Linked DNA regions of Lepisosteus oculatus. The protein of the gene in region 1 interacts with the protein of each later gene in a pairwise test. Links are inferred from orthologs where the notes say so. Each region holds a gene or a part of one and is shown in the gene's direction. Other genes may lie near its edges.

Evidence for each region. The genes of interacting proteins can lie anywhere in the genome.
Region 2: the proteins of thap1 (region 1) and mettl13 interact in binary tests that used the Homo sapiens proteins (3 or more experiments, as listed by UniProt). The two-hybrid records come from large-scale screens. The link is inferred for Lepisosteus oculatus from reciprocal best matches to the Homo sapiens genes THAP1 and METTL13.
Region 3: the proteins of thap1 (region 1) and rbm10 interact in binary tests that used the Homo sapiens proteins (3 or more experiments, as listed by UniProt). The two-hybrid records come from large-scale screens. The link is inferred for Lepisosteus oculatus from reciprocal best matches to the Homo sapiens genes THAP1 and RBM10.

Annotation. Positions count from the first base shown.
Region 1 is NC_090698.1:64,312,263-64,320,395, reverse strand, and holds the start of thap1 (THAP domain-containing protein 1), read left to right. Parts: upstream 1-5,078; 5' UTR 5,079-5,262; coding exon 5,263-5,333; intron 5,334-5,367; exon of another isoform or gene 5,368-5,517; coding exon of another isoform or gene 5,518-5,519; intron 5,520-6,332; coding exon 6,333-6,528; intron 6,529-7,841; coding exon 7,842-8,133. UniProt on the Homo sapiens protein: DNA-binding transcription regulator that regulates endothelial cell proliferation and G1/S cell-cycle progression.
Region 2 is NC_090704.1:31,396,222-31,403,328, forward strand, and holds the start of mettl13 (eEF1A lysine and N-terminal methyltransferase), read left to right. Parts: upstream 1-4,104; 5' UTR 4,105-4,662; coding exon 4,663-4,815; intron 4,816-5,644; coding exon 5,645-6,407; intron 6,408-7,107. Other genes in the region: itpa (inosine triphosphate pyrophosphatase), read right to left, coding at 601-709, 1,041-1,117, 1,368-1,480, 1,692-1,723, 2,284-2,357, 2,847-2,911, 3,138-3,195, 3,848-3,910. UniProt on the Homo sapiens protein: Dual methyltransferase that catalyzes methylation of elongation factor 1-alpha (EEF1A1 and EEF1A2) at two different positions, and is therefore involved in the regulation of mRNA translation.
Region 3 is NC_090697.1:77,941,575-77,949,201, reverse strand, and holds the start of rbm10 (RNA-binding protein 10), read left to right. Parts: upstream 1-4,624; 5' UTR 4,625-4,747; intron 4,748-5,478; 5' UTR 5,479-5,535; coding exon 5,536-5,552; intron 5,553-5,817; exon of another isoform or gene 5,818-5,984; coding exon 5,985-6,426; intron 6,427-6,610; coding exon 6,611-6,814; intron 6,815-7,158; coding exon 7,159-7,228; intron 7,229-7,627. UniProt on the Homo sapiens protein: Binds to ssRNA containing the consensus sequence 5'-AGGUAA-3'. May be involved in post-transcriptional processing, most probably in mRNA splicing. Binds to RNA homopolymers, with a preference for poly(G) and poly(U) and little for poly(A).

The DNA of each region.
Region 1 (8,133 bases):
CTTGTCCTGGGCTGGACTACTGTAACACATCAATTGCCCTTCGGGATCAATAAAGTCTTATCTATCTATACTGTATTGAAGCTTGAATATAACAGGATGGAAAACAATGGTTTTATTTTTTTATTTTATAAGCATATCTGTCATGGCAAAAGGGTAATTCATGTTAAGTTCTAGCACTTTTTTTCTTCATTGTAAAATTCTAATTGTTACCAACGACACGAAACCTACACATCAGTTTGGATTGTTCATATGGAAAGCTCAAAAGAATAAATTTGAGTCTTGTAGCAAGTCCAACAAAAGCTACAATCTTCAGTAAGGTTTAATAATAATCTTTATTTTATGCAGATAATTGGTTTATGCCTTCATGACTCATTACCTCAAGCATTTTACATCAGAAATGAATGCAGTAAATTAACGCAGGGTTTGAAAACACTGACTGAGACATAATATGAACTGGAAGGCTATTCCACAGCCTTGGAGCACCAAAACAGAAAGAAGGGTCAAGAAATACAGCGTAAATGTGATGGAAATTATCACTATAAAGCAGGACTAAAACTTCATGTTAGTTACAGTTGGATTTTCAGAGTGTTACAATGAATCTTAATCAGATTTTTTTTAATCAGCAGACTTACTTAGTTGAATGTGCATTGTATTGTCAAATACAAACAGAAATTAAAATTCAGACAAGCTTAATTCAGCCTGTTGCATTTGCTCAAGGGAAGCACATCCATTCTGGCAGCACATAAGGGCTCAAGTGTACAGTACATGGGATATGCTGGGATTGAATTAGCAAGGGAGACCTACATTGTCTACCCCCACAGGTACTCCTGCAACAGACTGAGCTCCTAGGGGCTGCTCAGCAAGAAATTGTAATTAAAAGATATTGCTGCTCTGAGAAGAATAACCATATACATTCTGGGCTTAAGTGAATGTCCTACACCTACACTGATGAGCTGAAGGAACAGAACCCTTTCAGTCTTGAACAGAGAAGACCGTGAAGGCAGCTGAAACAAGAATTTAAATCCTGAAACCCCTTGGCCAAAGTCAGACCAGCAGATTTCTTTAGAAAGCACAGTGAAACACGAACAAGAGGGATCAGGTGGAAACTGTGAAAATAAGACTTAAACTGAGAACAGGAAGAGCTGCCCAGCTCTGTTGTTGAAGCCAGTACTATGGTTTCTAACACAAAATGTCTGAAAGAGATCTTTGGATTCAATTAAGTACTAAATGGGCTGGAATGGCCAGATGGCCACCTAACCTTTCTAATGTCCTCACAGGACAAGTGTTTGGTGCCTTCAGTTCTCCAGATCATATTACAAACAAATCCAAAGTCAGACTATCACCCAGTTCTCAATAATTAAATATGAATAGATGCTATTAGGTTAAGCTATGCATCCTGAACAATATACAACCAGTATTTTTACACAATATATATATGGTCTTAAATATATTATGTTAATAATATATTATATATCATATATGTTAATACATGATGGTACATTAACCTACCAATCAACTTTGCACATTGCAAAATGTAAATAACCCCCATTCTCTCGAATTTATAGCACTGAAATGGCACCACAACAGCCTACTATATATTTCAATGAAAATCACAGCTATATACTGTATGACCACAATACAGTAGTGTGATGGCGCTAAAGGTATTGTGGCTACATATACTTTCCATATGACTGATAACCCACATAAGGGGGAATGATATCAACAAACCTAGACCATTTCAATCATACTAAAGAGATCTGAAAAAAACAAAGTTTATGTTTTACTTATTTAGTCTTGAAGATATGCTCACACACTTCTTCTCACACACTTTTTCTCACACACTTCTTCTTTGTTGACTATTTTGCCTTCGACAGGCAGGTGCTATAGCGTTCAGTGAAAGATAAACAGCGCTCCTTCACAAGCCAAGGATCAATAAGAAAAAGAGGAAGAACAATGAGTAAAAATAAAATTGGAGTTTCCCTTATTCACATGCCTAGTTCACCCAAGACCTCACAGTATGCAGAAGTTAAATTGAGTTCATTTACCTGTGTCATTTAGGTATAGCGCTGGTCTGCTGGTCAAGAAACACAAAATCCAAATTGCTGCCAGAGTACAGTGGAACATTAACTTTTATTTTCCCACTCAAAATATCTTACAAAGGAGCTCGACCTGTGCCTTCTGGGGGGTTTGAGTTCCTCCCAGGTGTTTATACACACATTTCTTCTTGAGTTCTCGACAGCATTTCTTCACCCTGTTTCCTGTTCAAAGCACACCCTGAGGTTCCTGTTTACACCGCAAAACAGAGCGACTGAGGTAAACACTGAGAATCGGCTTCTTCAGGAGGAAAGCAGCGAGGTTCATTTCATTGCTTTCATAACTGAACTAGACCCTTGCTACACAACACAACTCTTTCACAGACATAAGAATAGATTTAAAGAATCTGAAGCATTAAAGGAAGTTTAGTCCACTATGAGATATAAGGTATACTGTACAGTACATTTAAGTTTCAGCTTTAGGTTTTTGGGAATTCACATCTCTAAAGATCTAACCTGGACTGTGAACACTGACTCTATCATGAAGAAGGCTCAGCAGCGCCTTTATTTCTTGAGGTGCCTCAAGCGATGGGGGATGCCAATACATATGTTGGTGAACTTCTACCGCTGCACCATCGAGAGCGTCCTCACCAACGGGATCACCGTGTGGTATGGCAACACCTCTTCGCGCACTGCAGAGAATGGTCAATATGGCCCAGAAGATCATCGGCTGCGGTCTCACAGAGATTAAACAGCTCTATGAGGACCGCTGCCGTGGTAGAATTCTGGCCATCACAGAGGACAGTCACCACCCCGGGCATGAGCTCTTCACCCCACTGCCCTCAGGCAAGAGATATAAGAGCATACGGACACTTACCACCAGATTCTTCAATAGCTTCTATCCACAAGCAGTGAGACTGGCGACCACATTTAGCCATCCCCCTCGGACCACACCTACACCATCACCATCACCATCTACCTCTTTATGATTTCTTATCTATTGCACATCTCCAGTCATTGTTTACATATCTGTATTGTTTACATTCAAACTGTCTACATGTTTACTTGCACATTGTCTATTGTTTGTTTGTACATTGTCTTGATGCACTGTTTGCACTTTGTCTTGTTTTTTACACTTGTTTTACAATCGAGAGACTTTCTGTAAGTAAGAATTCCATTGTACCAGTACCGGTTACATACTGTATGGCAATAAAGTTCAAGTTCAAGGTGAATTGTTTGCAGGTTCTCAGGTAGCTATAAATATATATATGCATATTAAATATATAATCAATTTTAAAAATCCAATCAAATGATGGGAGACATCAAGCATGTATCCATACATCTTTCTGTAAATGAACAAACTACAGCTAGGCCTGGAATGTGATTCTGGACCCTTGACACTGGATTCAAAAATGTCATTTCTATCTTAAAAAGACCACATATCCTGAAGAAAGCCTGTTTGTATATAAGTATTTTGTATCATCCCATAACTCAAGTATATTCCTCCTGTAGTCAGCCTCACCACGCTTAACATGTCAAATGTTTTACATCAATAAGATGTCATAATATTGCTAATTGGAGTCCACTACAGTACATTTGGAGTAAAACCAAATCAGTAAAAATAAAGTAAAAATTTTTAAAAATACTGAATATATAAATTATGATATATAAGAAGTAGTTGCATCAAAGCAGTTTACATTTTAAGGTGGGAGGGGGAGGGGGGTAGTGTTGTACTTGAGCTATTGCACAACAGCCTACTCTGGGTTAAGTCACCTGGTTTACCTGGGGCCCTGCTTTCTGAGATTGCTGGGATTGCTCCGTGGTGCTGCTTTGCCCTCATCTTGCTTTCTCTCTGCACCTTGTAGGACATCCATCCATTTCCTGAGTGCTTTATCCAATGCAGGGTGACAGGGATTTTCTAGAGCAGTGGTTCCCAATCTTAGTCCCAGGGACCCACAACACATGTGCTAGTTTTTGTTCCACCTAAGTGCTCAATTAAGTAATTGTTAACCCTTAATAGACATAATAATAGGTTTAATTTGAACTCTTTGTTTTCAGTTCCTAAAAAAGTAGGAAGTTGCCTTTGACTGTATTTTGTTTCTTAAGCGACTTCAGTAGAACAAAAGAAAAAAGAAAAACATGCAGATGTTCTAACCAAGCAACTATAGGTTAAGGACTTATTTAAGCGAAGAAGGAGGACTGTGAATCCCTGGTCTAGAACATGAAATTGATTTGTCAAGAAATTTGAGCTGTAGGCCATTTGTGTGAATTCAAATGTTATTTTAAAATAACTCAGAAGGAAAATATTTTTTCAACAATTCAGATTTCAGAGCTACAATTATGATAAATTATATACAAGTGCCTTTAAAATGCACTTTGGGGTGTTAAGTCAAATAATCGCCTCTCCGTGCAGCCCCTGCCACACCAAGTTTCAAGTTTGTAGATCAATTTATCGTCAAGTATTAGGTCTTTCATGATGTAAACTGAGTTTATTTAGAAGACATACGCTTTAAAACTACAGTGCCACCTCGATATACTCATAAGGAAGCTGTTGTGAGCGTATAAAACCAATGAACCGTAAAAGAACGTCGTTTTATTTTTCACTTCCAAGTAAACCACGACCTCAAGATGTTTACCAATAAGACGCATTCGTCCTGGATTTTCTCCTCAAGATCTAATACCTCAACGCTTCACTTCACTTCCAATTTTGGAAACAGATAAGTTTTAAGGATACCCCACACCCCGAAAAAAAGAAATACTTTTCAAATTCTGTATGTACTGTATGTTCTGTTGTAATTAATACCTCTATGTCACCTCGCTGGAAAAAGCGGCTGCTATCATTCTAATGTGTGGCAGTGGTTCTTCAGGGAGGTCGCGATAACATAATGGATACAGGGCAATTATGCAGGTTAAATGTGTCACACGTCCACCAGATGCTAAAAGCTGCTTTAATGTACACGTCTCGTCCCCGGCACGTTGAGATTTGCCTTGTCTACGTGATTGTACACTGCAGGTGCGTCACCCGAAAAGAGAGGAGACTCTTCCACGGGAGTGACCAACCCGAAGCACGGATGCGCATCATGTGACAGCCAGCGAAGCCGTAGCAGCCATCTTGGAAACTGGAGAGGGACCTCTTCTGCGGAGAATTAATGAATAAATAGTAATAAAAAAAAGGCATTCGTAACATTTGCAGTCGCACCTGCGCTGCGCTTTATTTTCAAAGGCAGCGATGGTTCAGTCGTGTTCGGCGTACGGATGTAAAAACCGATATCACAAGGACAAGAACATTTCTTTTCACAAGTAAGTTAACTCCTGTCGGTCACCGCAGGGCGCAAGTACAGCTGTTTTCAAACAGTTTGCAATACTGAGGGGACAATCTCAAGTAGGCTACGGGGCAAACCGTGCCGTGATTTCTCCGCGAAGCCCAGCAAATGAATATAAAATCAGTTGATCGGAGATACAAAGCGTGTGTCCGCCGATCTTTATGTAAGCGAAATCAATGATTTGGGTATGACGTGCATTTCTGGGTTGCTACTCGTACATCGTGGTGCGTTATCCTCCGAGGAGCACATGACAGGGCAGTTTGTGTAATTACCACCTTTCAGATGGATACATTAAATTAAACGTATACCGAAATGGGAAAAAGGCAGTGTTTATGAAAAAGAATGGAAATGTAACACAGGGCTACCCTCGCTTTTATCTGTAAATGCCAGTTCTGACTGTCATGTTTGAAAATGGGACAGACGACGAGGTAGCGATTTTTGCAGCCCTGTTCTTCATATGAAGTATTAAATATTATTTGATGTGTGATTTTAGGGTACGAGTCAGTTTCCACACTCTCTGGAGCTGGAGACGTCTGGATATGTGGATATGACAAACTCTAGGACAGCTGAATGTTTAGGAGAGTCGGGGATATAGCAGTGCTGCACGGATTTGGATGTGGTCCGATTAAGTTACACCTTAATTTAATGTATTGCCCTGCGTTAAATTACATATGATCTGAACTAGCCAGAAGAGTGTAAGTGCCGTAGTTTTCGGTTGGCTTGCATTTTAAAGACTAAAGATTTTTTCATAACTATTTTAGATTGATTGCCCTGAACAACACAATAAACGTTATTGTTATAAATTCTCTTAGAAGTCAAATAAAGGTATACCATGTAAAAAATATGGAGGTATTACTATAAATCCTGGAGTGCTGGACTTGTGTTGTTCTCTCAAACGCCAAACAAAACAAAACAACATATGAATATATGAAGAGAAAGGCAATGCCTCTTGAAGTCGTGTTTGCTTATTCATCAGGTTTCCTCTTGCGCGGCCTGATGTGTGTGGAAAATGGGTCGCCGCGATGAGACGGAACAACTTCAAGCCCACTAAATACAGCAATATCTGCTCACAGCATTTCACCAAGGACTGCTTCAAACGCGAGTGCAACAACCGCGTGCTGAAGGAAAACGCGGTGCCCTCGCTCTTCTGTTTCAACAGGCTCGATGAAAAGGTAAAGCCAGGCGGAGAAGGTCACTTTTTCTTAAGAATTCAAACATGTGACATGCTCTGCTGTTTGTTTGTTTTTTCATCTTGTGTACAGTAGTTCAACTCCCGTGCTTTGCAATTGTTCAGTGTCTTCACAGGCTAAATGTTTTACAAACTTTCCAAGAACTCATAACATCCTGACTTACGTATGTTGTATATCGGCTGGAAATAGTGCTGTATTTCCAGCCTATGTTTTTTAATCGTAAGAAAAAACAACATTTAAGTAACTGATTACTGATCAACATTCAGCTAGGACTAGAATATAGGATATGGAGATTGGACCCCACCAATTGAACCAAGGGGCATGTTCAGACTCTTGTCTCATCCTAGGAAAATGAATGCTAGTGTTATTTAATTCATGACTGAGAATAACCTCTTGGGTTAAGGTTATTTCAAGTTCTTATGTCTCAGAATTCAAGAAAATCGTTGACTTTCTATTTTTAAGGAGAAAACAATTACCTTTATTTTTGAGCATCCTCTGGAATTTGGTGTCCTCCGTGTGCAGTCATTGTCACAGGATGCTCATATTCATATATGTGACATATGTGACAGGAAGAGGTACAGGGCCTTGCAAAAGTATTCAAACCCTTGTACAGTTCTCACTTATTGTTGTTATAAAGCTTGCAAGTCATGATACTTTGAAGTGGCAATTAATCTTTATGTACACAGCCTCCACACATTCAAAGCAACAAAAACAAAAAGAAAGAAGTAATTGATATGAAAGGAAAAAGTTATGTATTCAGACACTGAATACCTTGAGGTCCTTTATAGGCCCTTAACGTGCTGACTACAATATCTGGACTAATGAATTACCTGTGAAATGTAACCTTTTGTATTTTTGTATTGCACCTTGTTGGCAGGCAATATCAGTTTGTGCTCACTTGTGTATATCTATTTTTACGACTTGCGTAGTGCTGGTACGCTTTCACACTCGGCACCACAGGAAGAGTCTGAATTCTTTTGCAAGGCTCTGTAGTGTACATCAGCCTGTAAAATCTGTCGGGTATCATTTTTAAGCAACCATTTGTAAAAGCCAGGCCTTTGCTGGAATAGATCGAACTTTCTGATGGCAAGAAAAGAAAAAGAGAGCTTTGAACTCCAAGACTGAAGTGTTCTCATGTTCATGAGAAGCAGTACCTGGAAATATCTCCGTTGTTTGATGCTATCTCCGTTGGAGGATGATATATCATCCCACATTTGACTCCATCTGAAAGAGAGAGAAGTACTGTACATTCATGCTCACTGAACGCTTTTTTTTTTCCCCATGCAATCCTGTAGGATGAGGCCTTGGATGAGCAAACCCCACCAGAAATGACTCTTCCCCCTGAGCTGCACCTCACTGACTCTGAACAGTCACCACCACCACCTTCGCCACTGCCGGCTCAGGAACCCGGGCTGCCCCAGCTGCAGAACGTGGTGCAGATGGTTGTGCACCCAGCCCTGCTTCCCAGCATGTCCATATCCTGCGACCACAACTACACAGTGGAGGACACCGTGCAGCAGAAGAAGAGGATCCAGCAGCTGGAGGAGCAGGTGGACAAGCTGCGCAAGAAGCTCAAAACCGTGCAGC
Region 2 (7,107 bases), on another chromosome or scaffold:
TGTGGGTAGTGCATCATTGTGTGTCTGGTGCAAACAAGCAACCTCTGAGACTGTGTAAAATCAGGCTGTTTATTACAGGTCCAGACACTGAGGGAGAGGGGAAGTGGACTGTGTGTTGGCCCAGCTGCTAAACAGTACTAGAAATCACTTAGCCTACAGACAGGTGGCCATTTCCCCATGTTCCAAGTGAGGGAACCAGGACAGGGTAGCTGGTAATGTGCCAGCTTTTATGGCTATTCATGAACTCCAATAAAAGACATTTTCTCTCAACTGCCTACATAATTACCACCATGACTCTGATAAGGTGCTCTGTCGCCATGTCAGTGATATGCATAGCACTTTAAGAGAAAATAACTCATTTTGACTGAGAAATGGCAAACATACTTTTTTCAGAAAATGTTAGCATCAGGGTGCTGAACGTGACACGTCCATGCTGTGACACCTTATCTTCAGATTCACACAATACATTGTTGATAAGACAGGCATCGTCTTGGATGGTGGTGGCAAGAGCTTGTGATTGGCTATAGCCAGAAGCTCTTAAGCCTCGGTGCATCTCGTCGCCCCATGTCCTGGTGATGTGGGGGCCTGCATGGCCATGTCCTAGCTGTTCTCTGTGCTCCCAAGTTGAGAGAAGTGTTCAGACATGGCAGCCAGAGCACGGTATCGGTGAGAGATGGAGTTCTTCACTTCCTTTGGCAACTCCGCATAGCTGGGAGAGGAAGGCAGAGGGGGTAAGGGATTGCAAAAGGTAGAAGGGGAGAGAAGAGATTTGGAATGGTGTGAGGGAAGGAGAGGAGAAGAGTAAGATAATTAGAGAAGCACTAGAGGAATCACAATTCCGAGGTACTGTAAAGGTTCTGATTTCCACAGCATGAGAAGTCATGTTCTCACGTAATAAAGAGTTGGTTACAGTTTGCTTATCGAGTGATCACCAGTCCATAATGGCCTTGGGAAACACTGTGATCTAGTGTTCTATTAGATTATCAAATGCATGCATTTCACAAACAACTGGAAAAGATTGAGAAAACAATGACACTCACGTCTTATCATACCCATCTGGCTGGAAACATGGGTCCCACCCAAAGTCCCTGGGTCCCCTGGGCTCGACAATGCGCCCCTAAGCACAGAGCAATACAGGTCAGAGTAATACAGGTACCATGTTCCAACTGCACAGCACAAACAAGGTACCTCTGTGTTTCGTCACTGTAAACTCATGTCTGAGAGTCTGAACATATTACAGACCCTCTGAGCATCAGTCCGTGTGAGTAAGTCAGTGTGAACATTCCAGGCATGTGTGCCTCAGGAATCCAGAGGGCCCTGTGTGTAAATTGGAGGGTGTGCTATTTACTCTATGCTGCAGTCCTGACCTCTGTTTTCCCCCTGAAGAGCAACACTGGCTCCTCTTTTCCAGCGCTGTAGGCAAAGGTGCACAGAGCCCAGGCTGACTTGTCCTCAAACCCAGCCAGCAGCTTGTGCAGACCTGAAGGACAGATCAACAGAGAAAGTGGAGGGAGGGTAAAATCATGAGTGAAGCTTTTCATTTAATGATTTCGTACAGCATCTGGGAAGAGACTAGATTAATAGACAGGAGCTCCCTTACTGGTACTTACTGGTGTTGGGGAAAAGGGACGGGGAAAGCGAGACTTACAGAGAGACAATAATACAGACAAGAGAGACGGTCAGTGTTTTACCTTCAGGCTTCAGCTTGTCCAGAAACCACTTTCTGGAAGAACAACATGCAGAGGACACAGTTAACTGTGGATGAAGACACGTGAATATCTTGTTACATAGTTCTTATTCATTTTCAAAGACCTATCATTGATCTTCTTTCATGACATCATCCAGGTGGGGCTGCACATTGGTGTCGATGGAGGGGCTTCCCCATTACCTGTAAAGCGCTTTGAGTGGAGTGTCCAGAAAAGCGCTATATAAACGTAAGCAATTATTATTATTATGCAAAGGAACAAGTAATAGGTTTATTCCATGCTGAAAAAAAGAAGAAAGAAAACACAATGTTTATGCCGTGGGGCCTTCTTCAGGTATGAGAAAGACAAGGCCTGAGGTTGACTGAGGTATGTTTGGGGAGCAGAACAAGGTAGAAACTCGTAAGAAGCAATAAGTAGAAAAACCTTTTCACAGTGGACCTAAATATGCTATTGAATATATGCTTCCACTCTTCAGCAAATTACACCTCTTGGCCACTAGAGGTCAACATTGCACCACCGACAACCTGTCAGTTAGTCCACTATTGCCCTGTCGCAAACACACACACGCCATACTCACATATAAGGTCCCGGCAACCCTCCTAGTGCTCGAAAACATAGACAGGTGTCCTCCACTATCACTGGCCCGTCAATCTGTGAGATTGTGATTAACATAAAGGATCAGTGAACAAGAGTGAAAACCTGAGTGTGTCTGTGCCTCATAAGCCTTTAAAACATCACAGCACAAATGTTACAGACAAGGGGATGTCATTCCGCCAGCCAATCTTGTTTGGTTGCTAGTATGTGTTGTTTAATTTCCTGTGTGAAGGCGTGTTCAGGAATATGGACCTGTCTCTGACTGCCTCACTCAGTAATTTAGAGAAATCAGTGTGCACACAGATCAGGCATGCAAAACAGTGTGATTCATTGCAGGATCTGCAGCCTGCAGGCTCATGTGTAAATTATACTAATAAAGAAGAGAAAATGAATAGAGACATGCAAGATGATTCGAAGACCAAACCTGTCCATCCAATTTTACTCAAAATCAAAAAGCAGCTCGCAAATCCTGAAACATCACAGACTGATACACAGTAGAAGTCTTAGTTCCACCCTCACAGTACACAAACTCCATACTCTGCTGACCTGTCTGGCAGCCTCCTGGCACTTTTGTATGGAGATCTCATCAGGTTCGCCTTGGTACTCCGGCACTGAAAACACACCACAGTAAAAACTAATACAGCTCTCCCTGCAAGCAGCATCAGGACCACTCCCTTCATATTCACTGATGTGCTCTACTGATTGTCTACAGTTACAGCCATACACTGACTGAGCTCTCTCAGTTCACATCAAAAGGTTCTTTCTTGCCATGACGAAACATTTTTATGTCTGGTTGCTAAAACACACAGGGACCAAGTTCGCTTTCTCTGTACTCACAGTCAATCTTCTTGGACATGAGCCTGTAGGGGAACTTGTCTCCCAGTATCTGAATGACCTGTGTAAGACACAGAGATTTAATACAAGAACTCATCCGCAGCCACTGTAATATTTGTGTGCGTCAGCAGTGAAACTGCATGTTGATTGGTGGAGGGCTGAGCGGGAATAACGGTTACTCAGGGTCACAGATCATAGTGAATGTAGGAGCTAACGGGTTCGGAGTTACAGGTGAAATAAAGAGTTTGTTCGAGTGTCACATCGTCGTCCTGGGTTGTTAATTTCTACAGTATACGTGTACGAGAAACAAGACAGGCACCTTCACACATTGCACAGATATGTTCACAACAGTCGATGCGACACTCGGGATAATGATGGGTTTTAAAGTTTCTTCCTCTCCCTAGCTAGTGATGCACCGTGACGTACCAAATACTGTACTTTACGCTCCTGAACGACAACAGTTAGAAAGAGCCATTTTAAAAGAAGTGCTGCTAAAAACGAAGAATAACACAAACCGAATGAAATGGGTCTCACTCGATATTACGTGTTGTGGTTCATTCATACACTAATCTTTAATACGGTGTACTCAAATAACTAACACAACTGGTCAAGCCAAACAGCTTTAACCAATAAAATAATAGCTTGGTCATATTCTTTCTTTCCATGTTCAACTCCTGCACTCATTTTACTGTTTTCTCTCCCTCAGTTCTCACCTCCTCCAGTTTCTTGGCATTACCCGTCACAAACACCACCGACCTCCCAGCCGGCGCCGCCATGCTTCAACTTCCAGCTACCAAGCACGAAGGAACACACAGACATCAACAACATCCGGTGCCGCTGCGTATCAGCCAATCATCTGACAGAATGCGGCAATTGGCCAATCGGAAAGCGAGCTAGGAGGCTACTCGCCGTTAATACGATCCTATCATATGTGTCGTAGCGGATTGTGTTCTACACTGATTATTGTCCGTGTAGGAAACAGTTCTGAGAAACACATGTGGGAAGGTGGTATGCGATATGAACCTGGTGACTTGTAACTGTAGTTATAGATTTTCTATAAGAATCAAGGTGTAGGGTTTAAACAGACGATCGAGTAAATGTTGATTACAGGATGTTGCCTGTGTAGCTAGGTTAGATACATTTTGTAAGTTACTCTCACTGGTAACTAGTCGAGTTTCTCCCACTGGTATCATTTAGGGTGCATTTTACATGGGTGTCGTATTAGTGTTTTAACAGTATTGCAACAACTGTAGGGGTCACTAAAGAGTCCCTAAAAGTAAGATTACCAGAGATTCACAGACACGTCTGTTGAGCCTGGTTTATGGTGAGAGACAGTGTCTTCTCATATTCGCAACGTCTTTTATTTACTTCAACATGGAGTTGTCCACAACTGTAATGTGAAAGGCGTGCTAGCAGAATAGAGCAGTGTAGTGGCGGGACAGGTTATTGGTAAGTTTAGCGCCTGTGTTGCTACAGTATACTGAGTCCTTGACACAAACTCAAACCCTGTCGCTCACGCGGCCCCACGATGAGTCTGTTGCCACGCACCGCGGAGGAGTTCAGCTCAGCGGAGTACTGGGAGCGCTTCTTCCGCCGGCGCGGTGACCGTGCGTTCGAGTGGTATGGTGGATATACTGATCTGTGCGGGGTGTTACACAAGTACATCAAGCCTCGGGATGAGGTAAGTATGTGAAACTACATGACCAGACCGTTCAGTGCTTGTTATCCTTGTTATTCTTAGGATTGAAGTCTCTCCTTCAGTCGCAGACCGCACCACTGTGATAATAATTATAATTGACAATTTCTTGGATTTATTTAGTGCTTTTAGTTTCAAAGGATCCCAGGAAGCTTTACTTATAGGCTGGGAGAGTTGCAGAATACCAGCAACCCCCCCCAGATCAGGTGGAGAAAAGAGAAATTGCTTCTCCGTTTTAGTTAAGGGGGGACTTTCCAAGGTCCAGATTGTACAACTGCAGAGTGAAATTTAGCCAGGACACCAGGGCTAACATCCGTTTCTTTTAAAATGTGCCACAGCATGTGTAATGTCCAAAAAGTCAGGACGTCTCATCTGCACGATGAGATGCATCCTGTAGCAGTGTCTCTGGTCATTGCGGTTTAGAAATTGAGGTCCAGATAGAAGTTTTATCAGCAAATGCACCTGATGGCAATAGAATGATTGTGTAGTTTTGTTCTCGCATTTTTGGTCCTCTAAAACTAGGATAGTTGTTCTTGATCTTGTCACAGCCCAACAAGTTTCCCATAAACATAAAAATGTAATTCAAATATTTGTTTCAAAGATTCCAAGAGCAAGAGGTGCCCTCACCTCAATGCTTTTCCTCATTTTCCTCCACCATTGTTAATAATTCCTTACGCTTATTTAGTGCTTTTCTGGACACTCCCCTCAAGGTGCTCTACTGGTAATGGGGACTGTTCTCCTCTCTCTCTGGAGTGTGTGTTGTTGCTTTGCACTGCCTTCGTCACTGAATATTCCGTTCCGTTCCCTTTCCCAGGTGTTGGTGGTGGGCTGTGGGAACTCGGAGCTGAGTGAGCAGCTGTACGACGTGGGGTACCAGCGGCTGACCAACATCGACATCAGCGAGACGGCCATCGCGGCCATGAGCCAGCGCAACGCCGCCCGCCGCCCCGGGCTGACCTTCCTGCGCGTGGACGCCACGCAGACGCCCTTCGAGAGCCAGCAGTTCCGCGCCGCCCTGGACAAGGGCACGCTGGACGCCATGGCCTCCGAGGAGGGGGGTGCCGCGGAGGGGGGCCTAGCGAAGAGGATGCTGGTGGAGGTGGGGCGCGTGCTGGGCGTCGGGGGGCGCTACGTGTGCGTCTCGCTGGCCCAGGAGCACGTGCTCAAGCTGGCAGTGGAACACTTTGTCGGGGAGGGCTGGGCGGTCAGGGTGCACTGCCTGGACGGGCAGGGCGGCACCTCTGACCCCGAGTCGTCCTCCTGTGCCCTGCCCGTGTTCGTGCTGGTCTGCACCAAGTTCCGACAGCCCCCTCCAGCTCCGCTGCTGGAGCTGTGCCAGGGAGAGGATGGCGCCGCCCAGAGACATACCACGGTCCCCGCCTTGCTGGGGGCGGTCCGGGAATGCCAGGCCTACGCCCTCCTGCGAAGCCGCCTGCGCACGGGCACAGATCCTGCCCACAGCCCCGCCCTGCAGCTGCTCCACGCCCCGTCTGGACGGCCCCGGTACACTCTGCACGTCCTGGACAGTCCTCCTGGCACCAAGGTGCCCCGCGCCAACCACTTTGCCATCTTCATCGGTGAGTGAGACTGGCACTGCTCTGCAGCAGGACAGAACCAGACACACAAGCACAGGAAGGATTTCGCGTTTTCAAGATCTGGAAGTGGTGGTTCTTTTTTTTAGTATAACTTGCAAATCTGGTGTTCCCATCTTCACTCACTAACCCTGAGTGTGCTTTCCTCTAAAAGGTGTACTTGCTGCAGCCATCGTAGTTAGGCGTGCTACAGCCTCTGTAGTGCCTAAGTGCAAGTTTGTGTCATCACTTTCATTAAAACGTTATTTTCCTAGTCATTTTAATAACAGTGGTGTTTCTCATACTAAAGTTTTTTTATTGTATAATTTAGATTAAGTGCCTTGAGAATGCTCTGTATCAATAAAATTGATTGATTGCTAGATAAAGCTTAAGGAAGCCCAAAGGTGTTTCGCTGGTTGTGCACCAGCTATTGGGGAATTCAGGTAACAGTTAAGTAAAAACCCAGCGCAGGTGGGAGTCACCTGGGCTGGGACTGTAAGGTCCAATCTGAATTTTGAATGCTTTTACTAGCTGAGACTTTGGAGCTCATTCTTCTGTAGTGCATTCAAAAAACACAGCGTTGCGCTTGTGCAGGATTAATTTTGACACATCACTTCAGATCCTGTGTTATTCTTTTTCAAGGCGTGATCTAGTTTGAAGTTCCTTAAACCATTTTGTTTGTTTATTTAAAATATATCTGACTTAT
Region 3 (7,627 bases), on another chromosome or scaffold:
TACCAGCAAGAACCCCCTTCTGCCCCCCAGCTTCCTCCTCCATCGCTGTCCTGCCCCACTCCAGGTATGAGCTCATGCCTCCGCATCCGATCCTGCTCTAGCGCCAAACCAGAGGATCGTCTCTCCAGGAACAGCCTCCCTCTCCCAGATGGACAGTTGCCTTGGCTGATGAGAGGGGCTCCCTCACAGGCAGGCTGGACACAGAAGCAGTGACTTGGTTTTCTTCAAAGGCTCGCCCTTAGTTTTAAACACTTGGCTTCAAAACAATTACATCTGCAGTGTTGTGTCATCGACAGAGAAAAGGTCCCCTGGAAACAAATGTCTATATAATGTTTTAAGTTTTGTTCCTCATGTCATCGTTTGTAGCCAAAATATTTCTGTGGCACTCATGGAAGTTGCTTACTGGGCTTTTCCTCAAAGCTGACGACATGTCAGCTGCGCTCCAAGATACAGTGTTCCTGTTGCTAACGCAGCTGTTACTCTGGATAGGTATGGGGAAGAGGGCATTGTTTGAATGCTGTCTCTAGCGGCGGACTGGGTGACGAATGTTGTGCGAAACTGACAGGTGACGTCCCTTGGCAGTGTTAGTGGCAGAGGATGCTGTATCTTGAGTTGTGGATAAGTGTTTAAATTAACATTTCGCCATAAGTCCTCAGTCTTTTTTTCATCTGCAGTGTGGGACTAGTATTGTTTCGGTCATTACTGCCAGGGGCCCGCAGTGTAGACTGGTGGATCTGCATGTGCTCCTTGTTTCTGCCCCACTGTGTCTGTAGCACTGAAGCTCCTTCCTCATGGCATCTTCCTGCTCCTGTCTGGTTCAATTCCACAAATCTGTCTCATAGAAGCAGAGATACTGTTTTAAGAGCTTCAGCCACATGTAAAAATGACGACTATAAAGGATTTTGAACATTAACAGATGGGTTGTTAATAAGACTGAGTTTGTGTTGTTTAAAACTGGGGGTAACCCCCCTCTCCTCTTACCCACTGCTTCCCCTCCAAGCTGGGCAGGGCCTGCAACCAGTGCAACATCCTGGCATGAGGTGCCTGTCTGGCAGCCTGGTGTGAAGAAGCATAGCAGCGTATTTTAAAAGGACTCTTCGCAAACATTCCTGCCACCTCTGTCCTCCTTCACCACCTGTAGACCACTGCAGCAAGTTGTGACCTGCCACTCTGTCAGGCTCCCTGTAGTCTGTAGCTTGTGAGCAGGCCCCACCCCTGGGTCTCGCCATACACAGTGGCCCCTCGCTGGAGCGCGCCGAGCTGGTGTGTCAGCGGTGTCCGGAGGATCCTTCCTCACCATCTGTTCCATTGAATCGCCCCTCGGAGTCGTTCAAGTCAGTCTGAGCCACTGTCCCTGTAACCCCGGTGGGTTTGTGTTCTTGCTAATCCTTTGAAAGGGTCCCAGGATTGCATCTGGGATTTGAAAAGAGGGTTGAAAAAGGAAATAAGCTGGCGATTTTAATTCACGATTTAAACCCTGCCACAAAAAGATAAATGACACTGGACTCAGTCTGTAGCCCTGGGGTCACCCTCATTTCCTCCCAGAATATTGACAGTGATAGCTCTGTGTGAAAGGGCTGGGGGAGAGGGTTAATTGTTTGAGAATAGCAAATGATATGGGAATCTTGATAAAATCAGCCATGTGAACAGCGAAGGAAATAGGATCCCACTTGATAAACAGTAAAGGGGGCTGCATTGTCAGACTACAGAGGGTAATCCTGATGGAGATTCCAGTCTGGACAGTCTGGAGAGCTGGAAGACTGTGTCACACATTTGAGTTAAGTGTTGTGACTTGAATGACCTGTTTTACACATATTGTAAGACTTCTACCTAATGGGTGACTAGATATCCCTGCAGCAGTGGGTGAAAAACTGCGTACAGGTCCACAGTGCACAATGCATGAGCTTTTCAGCATGAAAGGAGGTGAGAGGGTTTTTCAACTGCCCATATCTATCTATATATATATATGCATACAATATTACATATATATGTAATATTCTAGATTTTGGCTTTTTCCTTTTGGGACTGGATAAGATGTATTCACACCTGGTTTTGTTTTGCTTAGCCTACTTTCCTTTAAGGCCTTTGTGCTGACTGATGACGAGTTTCTGAGTACTGGTGAAAGCCAACACAGAACTTGGCAAATGTGCAGTTCAAACCCATCAGGATTGCAGTCGGCCTTTGTTAAGGAGTCTTTAAGGATTTCCAAAGAGGGGGGTTGACCTGCACATTTGCTCAGCGTCCTCCATTCGAAAATAAATGTCCTGTGTCCAAGTGATGGAGTCCACAGGGATGGAAGGTTAACTGAAAAATGCGGTGCTGAAACTTCTCACTGCGTTTCTTTGGGAATATGAAAACCTACCTAATTTATAAAGTCTGAAGTAAGTCAAGGTTTTTTAAACCGGTCCTGGTCACATTTTCCTGTCTGTGCTGGCCCAGGGGACGTGAAGGGGGCAAGTGTTCAGCTTCCTCTAGCTCTCACACGTACAAACCCTGCGCCTCCTTCCTTTTTTTCTGCTCTTGTACTGTATATTTAACCCTGTGTGGAATTCTACTGGCTTGTACTGTATCAGTAATACCCTCTTGCAATTCTAGAATCTTACCTTAAAAATGTAAAAAAGGAAAAACTAAATATTATATTAAAAGTACTTCTTTTTAAAATAAAGTCACGAGAGAAAAAGAATCTGCCGCATATAACTTTACCTTTTGTACAAATGCATCTTGGAATTTCCTCAGTCTGCTTTTAAAACTACTTTAAATAAAAATTGTTTTTAGGGTACTGAGTTTGTGCAGTGTCCTCTTTGATGCGCACTTGGACAGGGGCAGAAGACTGATCACAGTTATGGTCATGTCCTCCAGCAGCTCAAACACAGTTGCTCATGCTTGCACACACAGAGCTGAGATACACACTTGTTCAGTGACGCACGCCACGTGCATAAAGCTCAGATACACGCTTGTTCAGGGATGCACACTGCGTGTACAGAGCCGAGATACACGCTTGTTCAGGGATGCACACTACGTATACAGAGCCGAGATACACGCTTGTTCAGGGATGCACATTGCGTGTACAGAGCTCAGATACACGCTTGTACAGGGCGGCTGTTCCTTCACAGGCAATCACGCATCTGCGCAAATCATCCAAAGGTGTTTTTGCTTTAAAAAAATTTAAGCAAACAGTATGTCCAATTAAAATCAAGAGAACTGTAATCATTGTTTTTTTTTCTAATTATCCAAAAGGTTTGCTTTATTAACAAATTTGTGTATTTTGTCTTTAATAGAAGGAAAACGTCAGCCAATGACTCTGCACAGAGAACAAAGTGTTGCAATTTGGCTCTAGAATGGTCAGACACGTTGCCAAACCAAACTGGTATAGAATTCCCTCAGTAATAACTCCATAACCCTGAATGAGAATGGCCCAGGAAACATTGAGACATTTTTCAGTTGACACAGGAAATACAATCTCTGGTGCACTTCCATTGTGATGCTCAAAACATATGTATCCCATTTGAGGATGTTAGCAATAGTACTGCTAGAATATTGAAAGACACCACATGTTGAAGACATTCAATCATTGCAGTGATTTCTAATTCCCTCACTGCTGGTGCAGAACAGCTGCTGGGTGTCGCCAAGGTGGGGATTCACTTGAGTGGCGAGTTAAGTGAGTCCACTAAATATGTGTAAAAATTAAATCTTCTGGGGGTTTGGGTTCCAGGAACAGGTTTTAGTTATTTTCAGTTTGGAAACCACATCAAACATAAAAACAACGAAGTGCCATTCGGGGATCTATAACAAAGTTCTCCTTTAATTCACAGTCTACTATTATCATTCTTACAAGATGTAATCCTGTAGAACTCCACTCTTCAAACAAAACAGCTCCCTACACACACCACGAACCTTTGTGCTTCGCATATCCCCCCTCTTAAGAACCGCCCCTGTTGCTGCATTAAATACCAAACCTTAATTAAATAACTTGCTTCTTAAATGAACACTACAAATCCCAGTCCTACACTTGTAAAGTGCTTTGAGACACTGTGGGATGAAAATGCATTACAGATTTACATTGAACATGAGATGAATAATGGTATTAAGATCCCAACTCTAAAAGGTCACATCCGTTCAGGAGCCTGAAATTTACAGGAAGGACCGTGAACAGTGCAGAATAGTGACTGCTGTCTTCGTCAACAGGTTTAACTAGCTCTACATTCTCTGCGTGCACTTTGTTCACTTCCAGGTTACTGCAGTACAAGCACTGGGTGCGCTTTATTTTTTTAGCCTGCCAGGCCAACTTTCCTCAGTCATACAGACCCGCATCAAGCCCTGCGCGCTGCGACATCGGCCTTCCTGTACAAGAAGACGGCTTCACCTCTAACCACTCAGAGGGCTCGAAAAAGCTGTCACGTAGAAGCAGAGCCAATCAATAACGAGAGGCGGACTTTCCTTTTCTTGGCCTATGGTGTCCGCGGAACTCTTAAAGGGAAATGTCAGATCCAATAGGAAAGCGGCGCTGTGGACGCCCCGCCTGAGAAAAATGTTGATTGATAAGGCTCTTACCCAATCATATGTTTTATAGGAATGGACCCAAAGTTTTTGGACCAATCAGCTGCAGCAGTCCGCCTACCAAGCTCCGCCCCGGTAGATGGCCATTTTGTTTTGGACGTAGAGCGAGACGGTTTTTCCAACATTTCTAAAAACATGTTTGTTTATTCATAACTTTAACCCTTGGCGTTTCGGAACAATCTTTCAGAAGGTATGATTTCTGTTCCTTTGACGAGATTTTTCATTCTAATCGGCTCTCCTTTTCGAGCAGCGAGTTAAAATAACGCTGTGTTTGGAGACCCCGGAGGTGCTGTTTACGCAGGTAGACGTTGGTCTCGTTTATAACTGACAAATCCCGTTAAAATGTTTTTTTTTAAACCGAAACCGCCGTTTTCCTCATGTCAACAAGCGCGACAGAATTGGTTAACGCTGTATTTCTGAATCGCAGCGAAAGAAATGATTCCGCTCTCTTCTAATGTCGGTAGTTCAGTGTTGTTCAGCGGTGTCAGTGTGTTGCAGCGCCATTGAAAGCGCCGATACTGTGGTCAGCACCTGTGTGCCGGGGCTCTGGACGCGTACACTTCACCTCCGGGGATCGATGGGATGTAGCTTCACCGACCGATTGACCGACTGTTTCTTCAGTAGCGTCTCTGCTTCTCATGGGCTGCCGGTTAGCTGCTGGGACCCAGGCGGCCCGGAGAGCTGCGCGGCCTCGGTTGTCCCCTCCTGTCGGTTACATGTCGTATAAACGAGCACGGCGTGGTCACGCCTCTTGAGCTCGGATCTGAAAGACTTGGCGACGGGGGTGAGCTGGGTTGATTAGCCTGCAGGAGACGCGTGTGACCCGAGCCTCTAGCTCCCGGTGACAGAGGCGGACTCGTGTGTCCGGGTCTTCTGCAGGGCGTGGTGCTGGTCCAAATGACTCCTCTCTCTCCCCCTCAGGCCAGCGAACCTGGTGCGGGGTGCCGAGCTGTCTGTGTGCCAGGTGGCCGGAGCGGGATGGACTACGAGAGGCGGTAAGATGATGAGGGTAACAGCTGCAAACACACCTGGAGGGACGCAGCGCAGGATTGGAAGGAAGTTCTGCCTGCACAGCCAGGGGCCCGGCTGTCTGCTCGTGTTATTAATGCCAGTGAGCAGTTAGAGAACTAACTGTGCTTCTTACTAGATTAGTCTTCGCCAAGGTCCTTAAGCAGAAGACTGATTGCATTATACAGCACATAGAAGCCTGGGCTGGTGGTTAAAATAAAGAGTTTGCTCTCGTTATCGTCACGTCTGTAGCCAGGTCACTGTGATATCGCGTGCTGAGCTGGTGTCTGTGCGAAGAAGTCTTCTCTTCTGACTTGGAGACCAGCTGAACTGAAACCCGCCGGAGCGGCTCCCGTGGGCTCGGACCGGTCTCCGCCGCGCGGCCGCGCTCTCACCTGCTGCCTCTCCTGTGCCCGCAGGGGCGGGCGGGGGGACCGCCTGGGCCGCTACGGCAGCGACCTCCAGGACCACGACTACCGGGACATGGACTACCGGGCCTACGGGCGGGACGAGCCCGCGGGCCTGGGCTTCGAGCCGCTGGAGCAGGAGGAGCCCCCCTTCCCCCGCGAGGACAGGGGGTTCCGCCGGGCCGAGGACTTCCAGCGCTTCCGCAGGGAGGAGCGCGCCCACGAGTGCGAGCTGCTCGGCAGCGAGTACGAGCCCTTCGAGCCCCAGGAGCGGCCCAGGGAGTACGAGCCTCGCAGGAGGGGCTTCCGGCCCTACGGCCGGCCGGGGGGCTCCGCAGCGGAGTACGGCACCTCGGAGCTGGAGGAGGAGAGCTACAGCGGACCCCCTGCGCAGGAGGAGTATGGCGATCTGCACCCCGAGGACCCCGAGTTTCAGGGCCCGGACGACCAGCAGGTGAGGTCTAGGTCCAGCGTTAACGCGGCACGGGCAGGTGACCAGGTCACCCTAGACGTTCAGCTCTTCCGCAGACTGCTGCAGCTGTTCTCGACGTGCGGCACGGGCTTCAAATGTAAGCTTAGCGACTGAAGTGCGAATGAATTCATTGTGAGCTTGTCGTGTGTAAATCTGTACCTGGCAGGAGTTCCCAGAGGCTGCCGTCTCCGGCCTGGCGGGGGGCCGGGGATCCGAGGGGTACCACGCCCGTGATGCTCTGGAGGAGTCGGCGGGCTTCCCTCCTGACCCGGACTTCCGGGACCAGGACTACCGCGCCGACTCGGGCGAGCAGAAAGCCAGCAACATCATCATGCTGAGGATGCTGCCTCCTGTCGCCACTGTCAACGAGGTAAGCAGCCCCGCGCTGTAGGACGTCTCTCCCCAGCAGCGCCGTCAGCAGGCAGTGTCTGGGGATGCAGATGTTGATTAAGTACCACAGAGGATCTGATTCTCCCTTTTTTCTTTTTCTTGTCTCTTGTTCTTTTCTCGTTCGTTTTTTAATTAGACACTGTAGTGTCCACCGCGAGGTGTATGTGATCTCTTTTTGGTCTCCGATTTGTTTCCATCTCCTCCCCTCTGGGGCTGGGATTTAAATACGAGGATTTAATTCTTTACAGTTTGATGTTAATAATGCTGTCCGTGTCTGGGGTCAGGATCTGCCTTCATCCCTCTGCCTCCCCTCTGTTGTTGCAGATCCGCTCCCACCTGCAGGAGCAGGGCATCCAGCCCAGGGAGGTCCGGCTCATGAGGAACAAGGCATCAGGTGAGCCTGCACTCCACAGGGTCTCCCCTCCTCCCCCCGCCCTCTGCTTCCCCTCCTCCATTCTTTGTGCTGCTTTCCCCGGGAGGCTGGGCTGCCTCTGTCTGTACACCAAGCCACACGGGATCCGTCCCCAAGACGGGCCTGGTTCACACCTCCCCACACACCCTCAGACAGCAGAGCACACAATCGCCCCCCAGCAAGGGCATAGGAGCTCTCCTCCCAGCAGGAGAGACCCCATCGTAAGTATGCCCGAGCACCTCGGTGTCTGTGTGGTCGCGGTGTTGCTGCAGTGTGTATCTCGCCCTGGTCTACAGAAGAAAGACCTTCCTCTCCACCGTCTCTGGGGGAGCCTGAGAAGTCAGTGATAGTTTCTATTGCATGTAGGTACAGAAGGCGGGG